Stegostoma tigrinum: one gene and its partner. The protein of the gene in region 2 interacts with the protein of the main gene of each other region in a biochemical or structural test. Links are inferred from orthologs where the notes say so. Each region holds a gene or a part of one and is shown on either strand. Other genes may lie near its edges.

The links. The genes of interacting proteins can lie anywhere in the genome.
Region 1: the proteins of proto-oncogene tyrosine-protein kinase Src-like (region 2) and stat3 form a complex in vitro, tested with the Homo sapiens proteins (3 studies listed by BioGRID). The link is inferred for Stegostoma tigrinum from reciprocal best matches to the Homo sapiens genes SRC and STAT3.

The regions. Positions count from the first base shown.
Region 1 is NC_081384.1:14,624,654-14,632,613, reverse strand, and holds the start of stat3 (signal transducer and activator of transcription 3), read left to right. Parts: upstream 1-4,946; 5' UTR 4,947-5,202; intron 5,203-7,124; 5' UTR 7,125-7,190; intron 7,191-7,960. UniProt on the Homo sapiens protein: Signal transducer and transcription activator that mediates cellular responses to interleukins, KITLG/SCF, LEP and other growth factors. Once activated, recruits coactivators, such as NCOA1 or MED1, to the promoter region of the target gene.
Region 2 is NC_081372.1:20,567,341-20,574,807, forward strand, and holds the start of proto-oncogene tyrosine-protein kinase Src-like, read right to left. Parts: upstream 3,022-7,467; 5' UTR 2,638-3,021; intron 1-2,637. UniProt on the Homo sapiens protein: Non-receptor protein tyrosine kinase which is activated following engagement of many different classes of cellular receptors including immune response receptors, integrins and other adhesion receptors, receptor protein tyrosine kinases, G protein-coupled receptors as well as cytokine receptors.

The sequences.
Region 1 (7,960 bases), on a different chromosome or scaffold from region 2:
GAACTCTCTCGCTGTTGCAGGAGGGAAGAGAAGGGGTGAGGGCATAAGTGCGGGAGATGGGTCGGACCCGTTTGAGGGCCCTGTCGACAACGGAGCTGGGGAATCCTCGGTTGAAGAAGAATTTGGACATTTCGGAGGCTCCCTGGTTGAAGGTGGCCTCATCTAAGCATATGCGATGGAAACTTGCTGACTCCCACAGCTACCTGGACTATACATCCTCACACCCCACTTCCTGTAAAGACTCCATCCCATTCTCTCAGTTCTTCCGTTACCACATAGCCTGCCACTACACACCCCCTGTTGTTAGTCACTAACAGTCCCCATTAATGACTACTCACCCTCCCAGCATGAACTTAGCAACTCCTTTGTCTGTCCAACTGTATTTATCTCTCTTTGGGCTCTACTCTATCGTTTACTCCCTACCCCACCCACCTCCCTATTTTCTGCATATAAACTGACGTTTTCCCGGCCACGATCCATTCTGAGGAAGGGTCACGAACCTGAAACGTTAACTCTGTTTTCTCCTTCACAGATGCTGCCAGACCTGCTGAGCTTTTCTGCAACTTTGTTTTGTAAAGGGACTTATTGTTGCAGTGTTCATGGTCACAATGTTCATGTTTTCACACATATCCATAAATTCACCACTCACAAATGGTCAGCTCAAATTAGTCAGTTTCCCTAGTCTGGACTGTTTCTATTTTTCCATTTCCTTGCCCAGTATTACTCTTTTCTTTTCACCATATGTTAATATAGACTTGGCTAAATTTAGACACCACATCTATGAAGCGCAAAATGTTTTATTTTGAATCCACTGCATCAGAGTCTAATATTAAATTTTTGAAATGTATATTGCTAAAATGAGATTCACTGTGGGTCATGATGATGTCCTCCTATTCTTTTCACATATGTTACATTTACCTCTGATCACCTTCAAATTTTTAGTGTATTCATTCTTTACTTGCATTTTTAATCAATGAGAAAATGGATGCCAATGAAATTTTAAGGAAACTAGCATTTTCTCCTTTAAACTTCTTTCAGTTGATACCAATCGCACCTGTTTAACATTTTGATTAGAGGAGATAGTCTTGATTAATGGAATACAATAATGGCTGGATTTTGTACACTGTAAATCAACTGAGTTTATAAAAACAAATGCTATGAATGCCTCGTATGCATTTAACAGATACTTTTTCTTTTATAATTCTTGTCCTTAAAGGTCTATAAATGATCAAAACCTTCATCAGTGTCTATTTCTAAACATTTGCAACCGAGCCTGTTTTTAATGGGAAGTATCAGTGCCAAAACCAGATGTAATTTTCCCTTTGGTAAGATTGTAACAGTTATATGTATCTCTACTTACATGTTTTCATGATGTAAGTTTGAGTTTCACAGAACTTAGGTAATAATTCAGAGGCCCGAGTTGATCTGGGAATGTGGGTTTAAATTTTACACACAACATGCGCTGACATTAAAATTCAAATGGTTAAAAAATCTAAAATTGGAAGTTTGTCTCAGTTGCTGTCATTTATGAAGCTATCATAAATTTTCATAAAAACCCCATCTGAGGGTCTTATGACCTGTGGTAGTGCCCATATCTCTGGACCAGAAGATCTTAGTTCTAGTTCTACCTGTTCTGGAGGTGAGTTATAACATGTCCATGGAGGTTGATTGAAAAACTTTTATGGTTTGTCTGTCTCCACTTATATGGTCTGGCCTGTGATGGTACCAGACCCACAATAATGTGCTTGTGTCTGAGCTACTCACTGAAATTACCTAGCAAGCCAATCTGTCGTACCAGACTGCAACATGAGCTATGCAACATAGGCATAAAGAATCATAAGTGTGGTGCTTTGTGACCATATTCCAGTCAGTATCAGTCAGTTCTGTCAGTAAAGGAGAGATGAAAAAAATGCTTCTATAATAACTGTACCAGTAAGTGTTTAAAAATGTATTCAGAAGCCTGCTAACTGCCAGTAGGCAGACAATATCAGACGAGTTCACTACAGCTAAACAGTTAAGTTTCGTAATTGTGATTGTTCATTCTAAACTCTGAACCATTTTATATCATATTGTTAAGGTCTCCTGTGACTAACCTAAAACGTAACTACTGATTATACACTGAGGCAGAAATGTCTGTATGCATGCACCCACTAAATTCTTCCAGAGAAGCATTAGCCCCAGTGGGTACTCTAATGATGCAACTGGATCTGGAATTCCAGGAAACTCAAGGATCATAGCCAGCTGTATTTACTAGCAAACACAGCACTAAAAACAAATTGCATCCATGCTGCACCTAAAGAATACTAAAAAGGTCCCAAGATTAAACATTAGAATTGCCAAAAGAAAATATGACAATGAGCCAAAGAAGGCTAAAGGAAACAAATCATAATATCAGAGATAGCAAGAACTGCAGATGGAGTCAGAGACAACAGTGTGGAGCTGGAGGAACACAGCAGGCCAGGCAGCATCAGAGGAGCAGGAAAGTTGACATTTCCGGTTGGGACCCTTCTGCAGAAATGAGGAGGGGGGAGGGAGCTGGGAAATAAATAGGAGGGGTGGGGCTGGGGAAAGTAGATAGGATAGTGATAGTTGAGTAGGGAGTGGTGGGGATTGGTCAGTGAGGTAGGAGAGATGGATAGGTGGAAGAGAAGATGGACAGGTTATGTCAGGTCAAGGGGATAAGATGGAGAGTTGGACTTTGAATGAGGCCGGGTGTGGGGAGATTTTAAAAATGGTGAATTCCATGTTTAGACCATTGGGCTGTAGGCTCCTGAGGCAGAATATGAGGTGTTGCTCTTCCAGTTTGCGGGTGGTGTCATTGTGACGCTGGAAGAGACCCAGGATTGACATGTCCCCAAGGAAGTGGGAGGGTGAGTTAAAATGGTTGCCAACCGTAAGGTATTGACGTTTGTCACGTACAAAACGCGGATGCTCTACGAGATGGTCTCTGAGCCTATGCTTGGTCTCACTGATGTACAGGAGCCCAATCGGGAGCAGCGCATACAGTAGACCAAGTTGAAGGGTGTGCAGGTGAACCACTGTCTGATATGAAAGGTTTGTTTTGGGCCTTGAATGGAGGTGAAGGGGGAGATATGGGGACAGATATAGTACTTGCTGCGGTTGAAGGGAAAAGTGCAGTGGGTGGTGGGGCTAGTGGGAAGTGTAGATTGGATGAGAGAGTCACTGAGAGAGTGGTCCATACGAAAGGTAGATAAGGTGGGAAGGGACACATATCTTGGGTTGTGGGGTTAGATTGTAGGTGGTGGAAATGATGGAGAATGATACTTTGGAGGTTGGTGGGGTGATATGTGAGGACAAGGGAGATTCTGTCTTTAGTTTTTTTGAGGGTGCCTATCACCATCCCACCTACCTTCCCCAGCCTCACCTCTCCACTCAATTTATTTCCTAGCTCCCTTCCCCCTCTCTGTTTCTGAAGAAGGGCCCTGACCCGAAACGTCAACTTTCCTTCTCCACTGATGCTGTCTGGCCTCATAATCTCAAGAGTTGATTTTAATTTTCTATTCAAATTCTGGAAGTTTGGAAAACATGGCAATTGTCAGGAGAAGTCTGACAGAGGTCTGTTGATTGATCTAATCTCTTTCATTGTTGACAGTCCTGCTGTGTTCTGACAATATATCCTGTTTTTATTGTACTATAAGCTACATTTGTGATGAAATATTCCTGCCTGCGGGGAATTTTGAGTGGGTTAATTTACTGGAACAGACGATATTAAGAACTTAATGCAAATATTGCCTCATTGGCTGCTGCAGGAGATTTAAATAACACATAACAACAAATCTCCCCCACAACAATAACCTGTTATTTTGTATCCGAACGTACTAACCTACAGTCCCGGTAAAATGTCCATCTAGCATTGCAAAAATAGACGTATTTATTATTTTTGAGCACTGGATGATAAGGTGTTTAAGAGAAGGATGAACTTCTAAATTCAGCTTGGATTGAGCAAATCACGAAATTGCAATAATTACGAATGGTAGGTATCTTCGCCGTTCCGATATGAGAATGAAATAGTGGGGGCGGGGTGATGCAAAAAGTTTCAACTTCACGAAAGGTCATTGATGACAAACGCGAATTTCTACTTGCCAACAAATGTTGGCTAGCCTCCTAAGCATTTCGTGCACATTTCTCTGATAATTTCTGATTTTCCTTTGCTTTAATGGAAATGCATGGGTACAAAGACAGGTATAGACCTGTTTGCAGATTTTATCCTCACTGCTGCGTATCACAAAAAAACCTTTCTTTGCTTATAAGGGATCATCAGCAATTTTCACATCCTGAGCAAGGACCACCGAACCCGCATGTTAACTAATTTCTCTCCACAGATGTTGCCAGACCTGCTGAGATTTACGAGCAATTTGTTTTTTTTATTTCCCATCCTGGGTCCTAACTTAGCAGTGTAATAATTCTATTCATGCAAAGGAAATTGAGACAATATTGTTAGTTTTAGTTTCAAAAGCCCATTATAATTTCAGCAATCATAATGTAGTTTTTCAAAGTGATGAGAAATATGCAAAATATTGCATTAAACCACAAGCAATTGCCTGCTTTCCTTTTTTTAAGCGTGGAGGGGAAATAAAAGGTTTAGTCATTTGATTGACAGCAAAACTCCCATCAATTTGGGCTCTGGCACTGGCTCGCAAATGTGAAGACGTCATCGCTGCCAGGAACTCAGATGACTTCGCAGCGCCGGCTGTTCCACGGAGCGCTCTATCCTCCCACCGATCAGCGCTTCCGGTGCCACGCGATTCTACAGGCGCGTGCGTGAATCCGGAGGGAGGGAGGCAGCGGGCGGCACTGCCGTGCGGGGGGCGTGGTACACCTCAACAGAACTTGCCGCCCCCTTCCTCGCTCCGATTGGTCGAAACCAAGCGGGAGGCGGGATGTCCCAGGAAACAGGCCGTCCGTTGATTCGTCGAGCAGGCTGTCATTCGTGGTCAGCACCGTCGGTTGTAGAGCTCCTGAAGGAGGGGGAGGGGATCACTTTTTAAAAAAAATCTTTTCGGCCGAAGTGCGTCAAGAAAAATCATCGAATCGACAGGTTTTTTTTGACATTGTATTTGAAGTAAAAAGTGGATCAAAGATCGCCGTGTTCGTGGCGTTGACGGAATTAAGAATGTCCCAGCCGTAGGTCGTGGTGTCAGAAAGTTGGGGTTGTCAGTCTGGAAACTTTTATTGCCGCAGGTACAGTATGTCTTGTATTCCTTTTTATTTGTAGCAGGCCTAGACACCCCGTCAACAAAATGCCAAGCTGAAACTTGCAGCAAGTCTTGAGTTACCAAGTAATTTAACAGGTGGAAATAAAACGAAGCATTTTGACAAGAGGGGGTTTGGGCCCGAAATGTTGACTTTCCTGCTTGTCTGATGCTGTTTGACGTGCTGTGTTTTCCCAGCCTCACACCAAGAGACAAAAGGCACAGTGACAGATGAAATCCTGTGGATTTTTGTCTCCCAGGCTGCTGAATCTTATCCACAATCAGTGTGACACAGGGATGTGGCAGTTACTGATTTCCAAATGGATCATGTATTGAAAGCATACAAGGCTTTTGGGCTTCTGTATTAAGTCTTTTAGAAGAGCAGTCTGTTCCGAGGGAAATGGATTGTTAACGCCTGACTCGTCTTTCTCCACCGCGCTTCCCCCCCCCCCCCCCCCCCAAAAAGGCACAAAATGTAGGAGATAGCACTTATTAACTGAGCTGTTGTTCTTCAGCGGCCGCTAACAGGAAGTGGGATGGCTGTGTTAAAGGGAAGAGTTCTGGACGCATGATTAATGTATTTATCAGTTTCTGTTGAAGGTTTAGTGCTCAACTAGCATTTTGTCACAGAATAGTGCATTTACTTTACATTTGCACGCAATAAGTACAATGTAGCAGCAATTAATCTTTGCAAATATTGTATGTTGGCTTGTAACCCTTTAACAAAGGATTATTTATGGAAACTGCGTTGTGCCATGTTTTAAATCCAAACTTGACAGTAGACCATTCTATTTACTTATGCAATTTTGATTCGGCATGTGGAGTTTTTTTTGCATTTCCATGTTGTTGATTAGCTACATCTAATTTGAATGAAACGTTAACCAGATTTAATCACAATCGATGTGGTTTATCATTGAAAAGTTTTACATAAAGGAAATAAACAAGTAAATCTGGAGATGCCTTATGACAAGGGTGGGCTGTTTGCTGACAGTGTGATGAAACAGTTCTTAACTGGGGAGACATGATGCATGCTGTTTATTGGTTGAACTGCAATGTTTTTACATTTAATTTGTTGAACTTAGATTTTCCCAAATCATTATGTATATTCAAAACAATACTAAAATGGTGGAGAACTCTGGTAACCCTATGTCTTCCCCATGATGCAGTCAGTAGCTATTTTAATTTTGGGTATTTCAATACCTGTTCTGTATTGCAATGTGGAACCAACTCTGCCACTTGTGGTTATAATAAACGATTGAACATTATTTCAGGTTTGATCATTTTGACACAAGACAATGCTGCTAGGGTTTGTTTCAGTTCTCAGCAAAATCACAATATTACTCACTTACTGATGTTTTAGTTTCTATTAGTGATACAACAAGTGCCAGACAACTCTACATGTTAGCCTCTCATAACCCTGTAAATGGATTGTTCCAAAGTCAATGCTGTGTTTGGCATCAGGAATTTTTAATTCCTGGAATATTAAGTGAAAATTCATTTTGTTTTTGAGAATGGAGAAAATATTGGCCCAGATCAAGTTAAATCTGGTGCTGTATTCAGTTGGACTAAACAATACCTTTTAAAGATAACATAATGCTTCAAATCGTATCAACAATTATTTATGAAAATGTCATGCATATTTTGTTTTTCTTGAGTCATCATTTCTTTCTGCGCACAACATACATTTTTGGGGGAAAAAAATCAGGAACACATTTTCCCTGCCTTTTAACTTTGAATTTATGTTGTCTTACTCCAGTAATTGACTCCTTTTCTGTTTTCTCTCCCTTTGATCACTTTTCTGCCGAGTGATTTTGTGACTATTCTTTATTCATTATGTTTTTAAAATTTATCCACTTACGTTGTTCACTATCAGTTCGTTATATATCTGAGTTATTTCTTTCTGCCTTTCAGTGTTAAACTGTGGTAAAGCTGCATCGAAAAAATAGAAAAATTCTGCATGTCAGCTGAAACAATCAGGTAAACTAATGTACTTTATTACTGTACCATCCCATCATGGATGTTTTTCTCAGTTCCTAGCGCTAAATATTACAAATGGCTTCAAAGTTATGTCTCTTTTAAGATGCATTAAGATTATTACTAAAAACATCATGAATTGTGTACTTTTTATATTGTAAATTTAAGAATTTGGAAAATAGTTTTGTTTGAAAGGAGGAAGTACAGTTCATAATTGTGAATTTTAAGACTGTTATGTGGGCAATCCTGGCTGAATGTAACTTCAGTTTTCCCAGATTTTAAAGCTGAATTTTAAGTAAACTGATTTTGAAACCAGAAGCAGAAGATGTAATATTTTAATTGCTTTACAAGAATGAGGAAGGATACTGCATTTTAGAGGTTATGCATTGATAGTGATTTGAAAGACCAAACTTGTTACAGTACCTTGTGAAGAGGAACATCATTGTATTTTCCAGTTCTTTAGAAAGGGGAAAAATAATTTTCTTGGTCAAATGTTTATTTTCTTACTCGTAACATCAATTGTAGTGAGATACATCACCTGAGCATAGTTTAAAAGCTGCAACTGTTTCAAAATACATAAAAAGTTGTGCATATGAAGGCTTGTTTGTTTCAAAATATCGTGATGGAAGTCTTTTTCATATGTAAATTCAAATTATTTTAGAACTTGGATTTTGAAACAAGTGGAAAGCTGGAACTGTGAATTTAAAAACAAATCAGTGTGAGAGAGTTCCTGGAGTGCAAATGAGAATTTGTTTGCATTGAGAGAGTTTTAG
Region 2 (7,467 bases):
CTCATTATGAAACCCATGAAATTAAAGAAGTTGAGGCAGACCAAAAAGATCTTGTTTAATAAAAATACATTTTAGAAGTGTTTTTGATTCCAGTAGTTCATGGAAGACGCCCATAAACAAAATGACAGCCAAAATCATTCAGCATCTAGCACGGCAGTTCAAAAATAAAAGAACCAAGTCTTTCAAATGTATCTTAAACCAAGATCCCATCTCCCTGCTCATGAGGATGTTAAAGGTCCCATGGCACCATTTTGAAGAAGAGTTATTTCATTCTAAAGAAGGGTCACTGGACCTGAAACATCAACTCTAAAGCTTTTTCGAGAGTGTCAAGCTCCTGGGAGTGATGGTCACAAACCACCTATCCTGGTTCACCCACATCGACATGACACAAGAAAACACAACAATATCTCCAATTTCTCAGGAGGCTAAGGAAATTCAGCACATCCACAGGGACTCTTATCAATGTTTATAGATCACCACAGAAAGCATCCTGTTTGGGTACACCAGAGAATGGTACGGCAATTGCTCTTCCCAAGAACACAAGAAACTACAGCGTCATGAACACAACCCAGTCCATCACACAAACCAGTTTTCTCTCCAAAGACTCCATCTACACTTCCGGCTGCCTCAGGAAAGCAACCAACATAATCAAAGACCCCTGCCACCTCGGACATACTCCCTTCTACCCTCTTACGTCAGGCAAAAGATATAAAAGTTTAAATACTTGTACAAATAAGTTCAAGGACAGCTTCTTCCCTGCTGTTATCAGAATTCTGAATGGACCTTTCAAACATTAATTCTAATCTCTCTCTTCACACCTTCTCTGAGCTGCAACACTGTGTTCTGCACTCTGTTCTGCTACCCTCATACACTTTGTGTGATACGATCTGCCTGTATAGCTTGCAGAAAAACATTTTTCACTGTATATCTGTACGTGACAACTATAGATCAATCAATCTCCACAGACACTGCTAGACCTGCTGAGTTTTTCCAGCAATTTCTCTTTTTGTTTCTGATTTCCAGCATTCTCAGTTCTTTCAGTTTTTTTTTAGGGGAATACCCTTGATGTTTTGATTGATATTTACCCCCAGTCAACATCACAAAAACATATTTGGTCACTTTCATGTTACTGTTTGTGAGAGTTTGCTGTTCTGTATTGATTGTTGCATTACTACAGTCACTAATTTTGAAAGTAACTTACTGGCAGTAACATATTTTGCAATGTCCAGTGCTCCTCAAAACTGCTACACAAATGCAAGCTTTTCTTTTCACTGATTACTAATGCTCAATCAAAGAACACCGTGTGCATTTTGGTCTTCAGTTCATCAGGAATGTGCATACAAGGTGTGTCAATAAAAGGAGAGACTGATTTTTCGCTTGACATTTTACAAAACCAAATCAACTACCCAAAGAAAGGAAACACCAGGACAAAAACCTGAAAGGTTCTGTCTTGTTATGCAACATACATAAACACACCAATAATAACATTGTATAATAAAATATACATTGGTTACAAATGCTCTTTTCTTCAAGAAAATGATAAACTGGCACTGCAGGAACCCCAAGCTGAGAACTACAGCTCCAGCTGCACTGAGTAAATGGGATCGGCCTAACAAGGTGTCAAACATCGTCCAGGGATACCACTTCAATAAAGCCAGCACATTCCTGTCTGGCTTCACCGGATGACGGACTTCAACCCTTCAATTTAGTCGGTGTTTTCATACTATTTACACAATTTCTTTTTGATGCAGTTATGAAGAATGAATCACTGAGGTGGATTGGTTTATCTTTGTTGCTGTACACATTGGGCATATCCCGTAGCGCTGGGATACTGGGAGTGCCCGGCCGTGGACGTCGGAGAGCTGCTTTAGACGGTGAAAATGTACATTTCCAGCACGAAACCGCGCATCATGTTCATACGGATCAGGACAATAATTTGCCCGCTCCGGCAAACTACACTGCATGTCTCGTAATGCTACTGTTAGCAATGCTAAATACCATATTAAGTCAATATTGCAATTAGGACATCTTCAGTTATTGGAAAAATAAACAACCTCCAAATCAATATTAACTAAAAAGATACAAGAATATTAAGGAAGATTTGAAAGTTTGCAGTTGTGGGTATTGAAAGGGTTTCCTCCCAATATCTGGCTGTGCAGCATCTGCTTTCCAGTCACCTTTCATGAACTGGCTATTGATTGTAAACGGCTGACTATTTGACGTGAGAAAAACTGGGGTTTCACTCAGCCAGGGGCAAGGGGAACTTGCACAGTAAGAGATGTTGGCCTGGCCTCTTTCGTTTTCGGTCGAACGACATTCCGACGCAGTGAAAGGACAGTTAATATGCAAGGGGCGAACCAAACTTTACAGCACAGGCATAAGAGAGAGGGTCAGAGACTTCCGCTTGCTAGTAAATCAAAATAAAAAGGGGAGGGGGTGGACAGGGGGTTTGTTTGTCTCGACTTAGAAAGAGAAATCAAGTAGAGAAAGGGGGTGGGGGTGGAATTCCTTACGATTTATTAAAGACCGAGCTGTGCCCGGCTCCTGTTTCCTGTCCAGCCGAGCTAACCCGCCCCCCCCAGGCCACGGTGGGATCTGGTGGAGTTTCATTCACCGACTGCACAATGGGTCACTTACCTTCCGCCTCTGCACCTACAGCTGCTCCGTACACGTGTCTCCCCTCCTCTCCTCTGAGACGCTCATTGAAAACACCGAAAGGTTAGATGTGGCTTCACGAACCCAGCGCCAGCCTGGAAGGTGAGGAGGGAGGAGGAACGGTGAGAGCGAACAGACCTCCTGCCCAAGCCGGTGACAGCCGAGAAGCAGCAGATTCCCCTACAATCCGCACTTGGAAATGGTTGATGTCTCGCTTGGTTCCCCCAGGCAAGGGCTGGGAGTGAACCGGGGAGAATGGGCACGTCACGGAAAACTCCTCTGGTGCCCGGCTCGCGGATCTGTTCAATCCGATTTGCGGGGGGGTTTGCTCTGGGTGGGTGTGTTTGGGGTGGAGGAGGGTGGCTGGGGGTGGGAAGTTGTTGGTGCTGCAATTGGGGAGTGTTGCTCCGGAAACGCTTCACAGCAGAAGCCACCTTTTTTTTTCGATCCACGGAATTAAAGCAAACAGCTCCACTCGTGGCTGTAGGAGATGAAATCCAGTACAATTCTGGACATTGGGAAAGCGATAGACAATATAGCGCCTGTTCTCTTTGTGTCTTGGTCTGATTTATCCTTTCTGCATCCACTTTTTGGTCATATTCTCCTAGTGCTTTGGTTACCCTTTACTCATGTCTCATTTTTATGCACACGACTTACAACTTTCTCCCTTTCAGTTTCATTTCACCGTTTTACCATTGTTGCTCTCCCACCCTTTATTCCTGTTTGACCATCGTTTTGTCTTTTCTCATCGCGATCACTGAAATACTAAAAACTAGGATAATGTTTCATTCAGCATCGAAAAACCGAAAGAACTGCGGATGCTGGAAGCCAGAAGATAGAACAGAAAGTGCTGGAAAAGCTCAGCAGGTCTGGCAGCATCTGTTGGGAGAAAGCAGAGTTAACGTTTCGGGTCCAGTGACCTTCACTGAACAGCCGAAACGTGAACTCTGATTTCTCTCCACAGGTGCTGTCAGACCTGCTGAGCTTTTCCAGCACTTTCTGTTTTTCTATCCAGTATCTAAAGCCTTTAATATTTGAGCCAAAATCCCGAGCCCTTAATGCTGTGTCGATAATCACGTCGACGCCACGGGAATTGCGATCATTGCTAACAATCAGAAAAAGAACAAAAAGCTTGCAATTATATCACACCTTTCATGACCTAAAAACGCTTTACAGGTAAAAGAGCACATTGGAACTGTGGTTAATAATGTAAGGAGAGAGATCCAACAACCAAACTACGCATAGTAAGATCCCACAAGCACCAATTCGTTGGAGGACAATTAGTCTGTTTTGATGACAAGACGGACAGTGGAGAGAAATCCTACACCTCAAAGTAGCCCCCTCAGATCGTTTACATCCATCTGAAAGGGCAAGACCAGCCAACTTTTAACATCTCAGCACTTTTGGCAGGGCAACACTCTCACAGTCAGAGACAGTAAGAACAGCCGATGCTGGAGTCACAGATAACACAGTATGCAGCTGGAGGAACACGGCAGACCAGGCAGCAGCAGAGGAGCAGGAAAGCCGGGTCAGGATCCTTCTGAAGAATTCTGCTACTAGGTTTTGTCGACTTAAAACTTTCTAGCTAATATTTATATTAGATTATGCAGACACTATTGCACACTAACCCACCAAAAGCAGAAAAGGGCTGTTTAACGAATATGTGAATTTCTAAATGGACGGTGGCTCGGTGGTTGGTACTGTTGCCTCACAACGCCAGGGACGCGAGGATCGATTCCAGCCTCGGGCGACTGTCCGCGTCTACGTGGGTTTCCTCCCACAGCTGAAGGATGTGTATGATAGGTGGGGAGAGATAATGGGAACTGCAGATGCTGGAGATTCCAAGATAATAAAATGTGAGGCTGGATGAACACAGCAGGCCAAGCAGCATCTCAGGAGCACAAAAGCTGACGTTTCGGGCCTAGACCCTTCATCAGAGAGGGGGATGGGGGGAGGGAACTGGAATAAATAGGGAGAGAGGGGGAGGCGGACCGAAGATGGAGAGTAAAGAAGATAGGTGGAGAGGGTGTAGGTGGGGAGGTAGGGAGGGGATAGGTCAGTCCAGGGAAGACGGACAGGTCAAGGAGGTGGGATGAGGTTAGTAGGTAGCTGGGGGTGCGGCTTGGGGTGGGAGGAAGGGATGGGTGAGAGGAAGAACCGGTTAGGGAGGCAGAGACAGGTTGGACTGGTTTTGGGATGCAGTGGGTGGGGGGGAAGAGCTGGGCTGGTTGTGTGGTGCAGTGGGGGGAGGGGATGAACTGGGCTGGTTTGGGGATGCAGTGGGGGAAGGGGAGATTATGAAACTGGTGAAGTCCACATTGATACCATATGGCTGCAGGGTTCCCAGGCAGAATATGAGTTGCTGTTCCTGCAACCTTCGGGTGGCATCATTGTGGCAGTGCAGGAGGCCCATGATGGACATGTCATCAAGAGAATGGGAGGGGGAGTGGAAATGGTTTGCGACTGGGAGGTGCAGTTGTTTGTTGCGAACTGAGCGGAGGTGTTCTGCAAAGCGGTCTCCAAGCCTCCGCTTGGTTTCCCCAATGTAGAGAAAGCCGCACCGGGTACAGTGGATGCAGTATACCACATTGGCAGATGTGCAGGTGAACCTCTGCTTAATGTGGAATGTCATCTTGGGGCCTGGGATGGGGGTGAGGGAGGAGGTGTGGGGACAAGTGTAGCATTTCCTGCGGTTGCAGGGGAAGGTGCCGGGTGTGGTGGGGTTGGAGGGCAGTGTGGAGCGAACAAGGGAGTCACGGAGAGAGTGGTCTCTCCGGAAAGCAGACAGGGGAGGGGATGGAAAAATGTCTTGGGTGGTGGGGTCGGATTGTAAATGGCGGAAGTGTCGGAGGATAATGCGTTGTATCCGGAGGTTGGTAGGGTGGTGTGTGAGAACGAGGGGGATCCTCTTGGGGCGGTTGTGGCGGGGGCGGGGTGTGAGGGATGTGTCGCGGGAAATGCGGGAGACGCGGTCAAGGGCGTTCTCAATCACCGTGGGGGGAAAGTTGCGGTCCTTAAAGAACTTGGACATCTGGGATGATATGCGGGAGTGGAATGTCTTATCGTGGGAGCAGATGCGGCGGAGGCGGAGGAATTGGGAATAGGGGATGGAATATTTGCAGGTGGGTGGGTGGGAGGAGGTGTACCAGCCCAGTTCATCCCCTCCCCCCACTGCACCACACAACCAGCCCAGCTCTTCCCCCCCACCCACTGCATCCCAAAACCAGTCCAACCTGTCTCTGCCTCCCTAACCGGTTCTTCCTCTCACCCATCCCTTCCTCCCACCCCAAGCCGCACCCCCAGCTACCTACTAACCTCATCCCACCTCCTTGACCTGTCCGTCTTCCCTGGACTGACCTATCCCCTCCCTACCTCCCCACCTACACCCTCTCCACCTATCTTCTTTACTCTCCATCTTCGGTCCGCCTCCCCCTCTCTCCCTATTTATTCCAGTTCCCTCCCCCCATCCCCCTCTCTGATGAAGGGTCTAGGCCCGAAACGTCAGCTTTTGTGCTCCTGAGATGCTGCTTGGCCTGCTGTGTTCATCCAGCCTCACATTTTATTATTATGTATGATAGGTGGATTGGCTATGCTATACTGCCCAAGGATGTTTCGGCTAGGAGTGTTCGAGATGGGAAATACATGGTTAGGGGACTAGTTCTGGGTAGGATGCTTTTCAGAGGGGCAGTGTAGACCTGTTGGGCCAAGTGGCTTGTTCCCACAGCACAGGGATTTTATGATTCCAAATTTACGCCAGAGGAACAGGAAAGCTGACGTTTTGTATCAGGACCCTTCTTCAGAAAATCATTCTTTTTTTGAAGAAGGGTCGCAACCCGAACTGTCAACTTTCTTGCCTGGCCTGCGGGTGTTCCTTTAGCTTCACATTGTGTTATCTCAACACTCTCAGTATTGCATTGAACTCTCCTCATAGGATAGATTGTATTCTGGTCAATGGAATGAGACTTGAACCTCCGGACTCTGAAGTGGAGGTTGGGCTGTTGTTGAGCTGTGGTTGATGCTCTTTGACCTTTCGTTCAGGGTACTACTTGCCATGGACCCAAAAGGGCAAATGCATTATGACAATAGTCACACATTGCAAAAATTTCCTTCTCATTAATACTAACAATTTTTCATTTTGAATTCTTAGGTTGTGTTTGGAATAAATCATTTGTAACAACTGACTCAACAGGCATTGACAAGTAATGAATGTTTGCTGAGCAATACAACTGAGCAGGAAACAAAATATTCTACTCATGAAAATATTGAATAGTGTACAAGAGTCATAGAGTTGTACAGCATGGAGACAGATCCTTCACAGTCCAACTTGTCTGTGATAACCATATATCCTAAATGAATCTAGTCCCATTTCCCAGCATTTGGCCCATATCCGTCTAAACTCTTCCCATTCGTGTCATCATTCAGATACCTTTTAATCGTTGTAATCGCACTCACCCCCATCACTTCCTCTGGCAGCTCATTTCATTCACGCATCACCCTCTGCGTGAAAAAGTGGTGCCTTAGGTCTGTTTTAATTCTTTCCCCCCTTACCTTAAAAACTAAATCCACCAAATGTCTCTGAAAATCCATACTTTTTTAAAACTTTTAAGCCAATTTATCACAAGTTCTCATCTAATCCATGCATTCTCCAATTACCTGTACATGATGCTTCATGATAATATAATGAAGCAATTAGATAATGTTTAAACAAAGTCTAGAATTAATGATTCCATGAAATTGAATGCATTGAAAATAAAAATATTGTCAGAGACTGGATGATGATATGTGATAAGCTCTCTTTCCCCTCCATCTTTT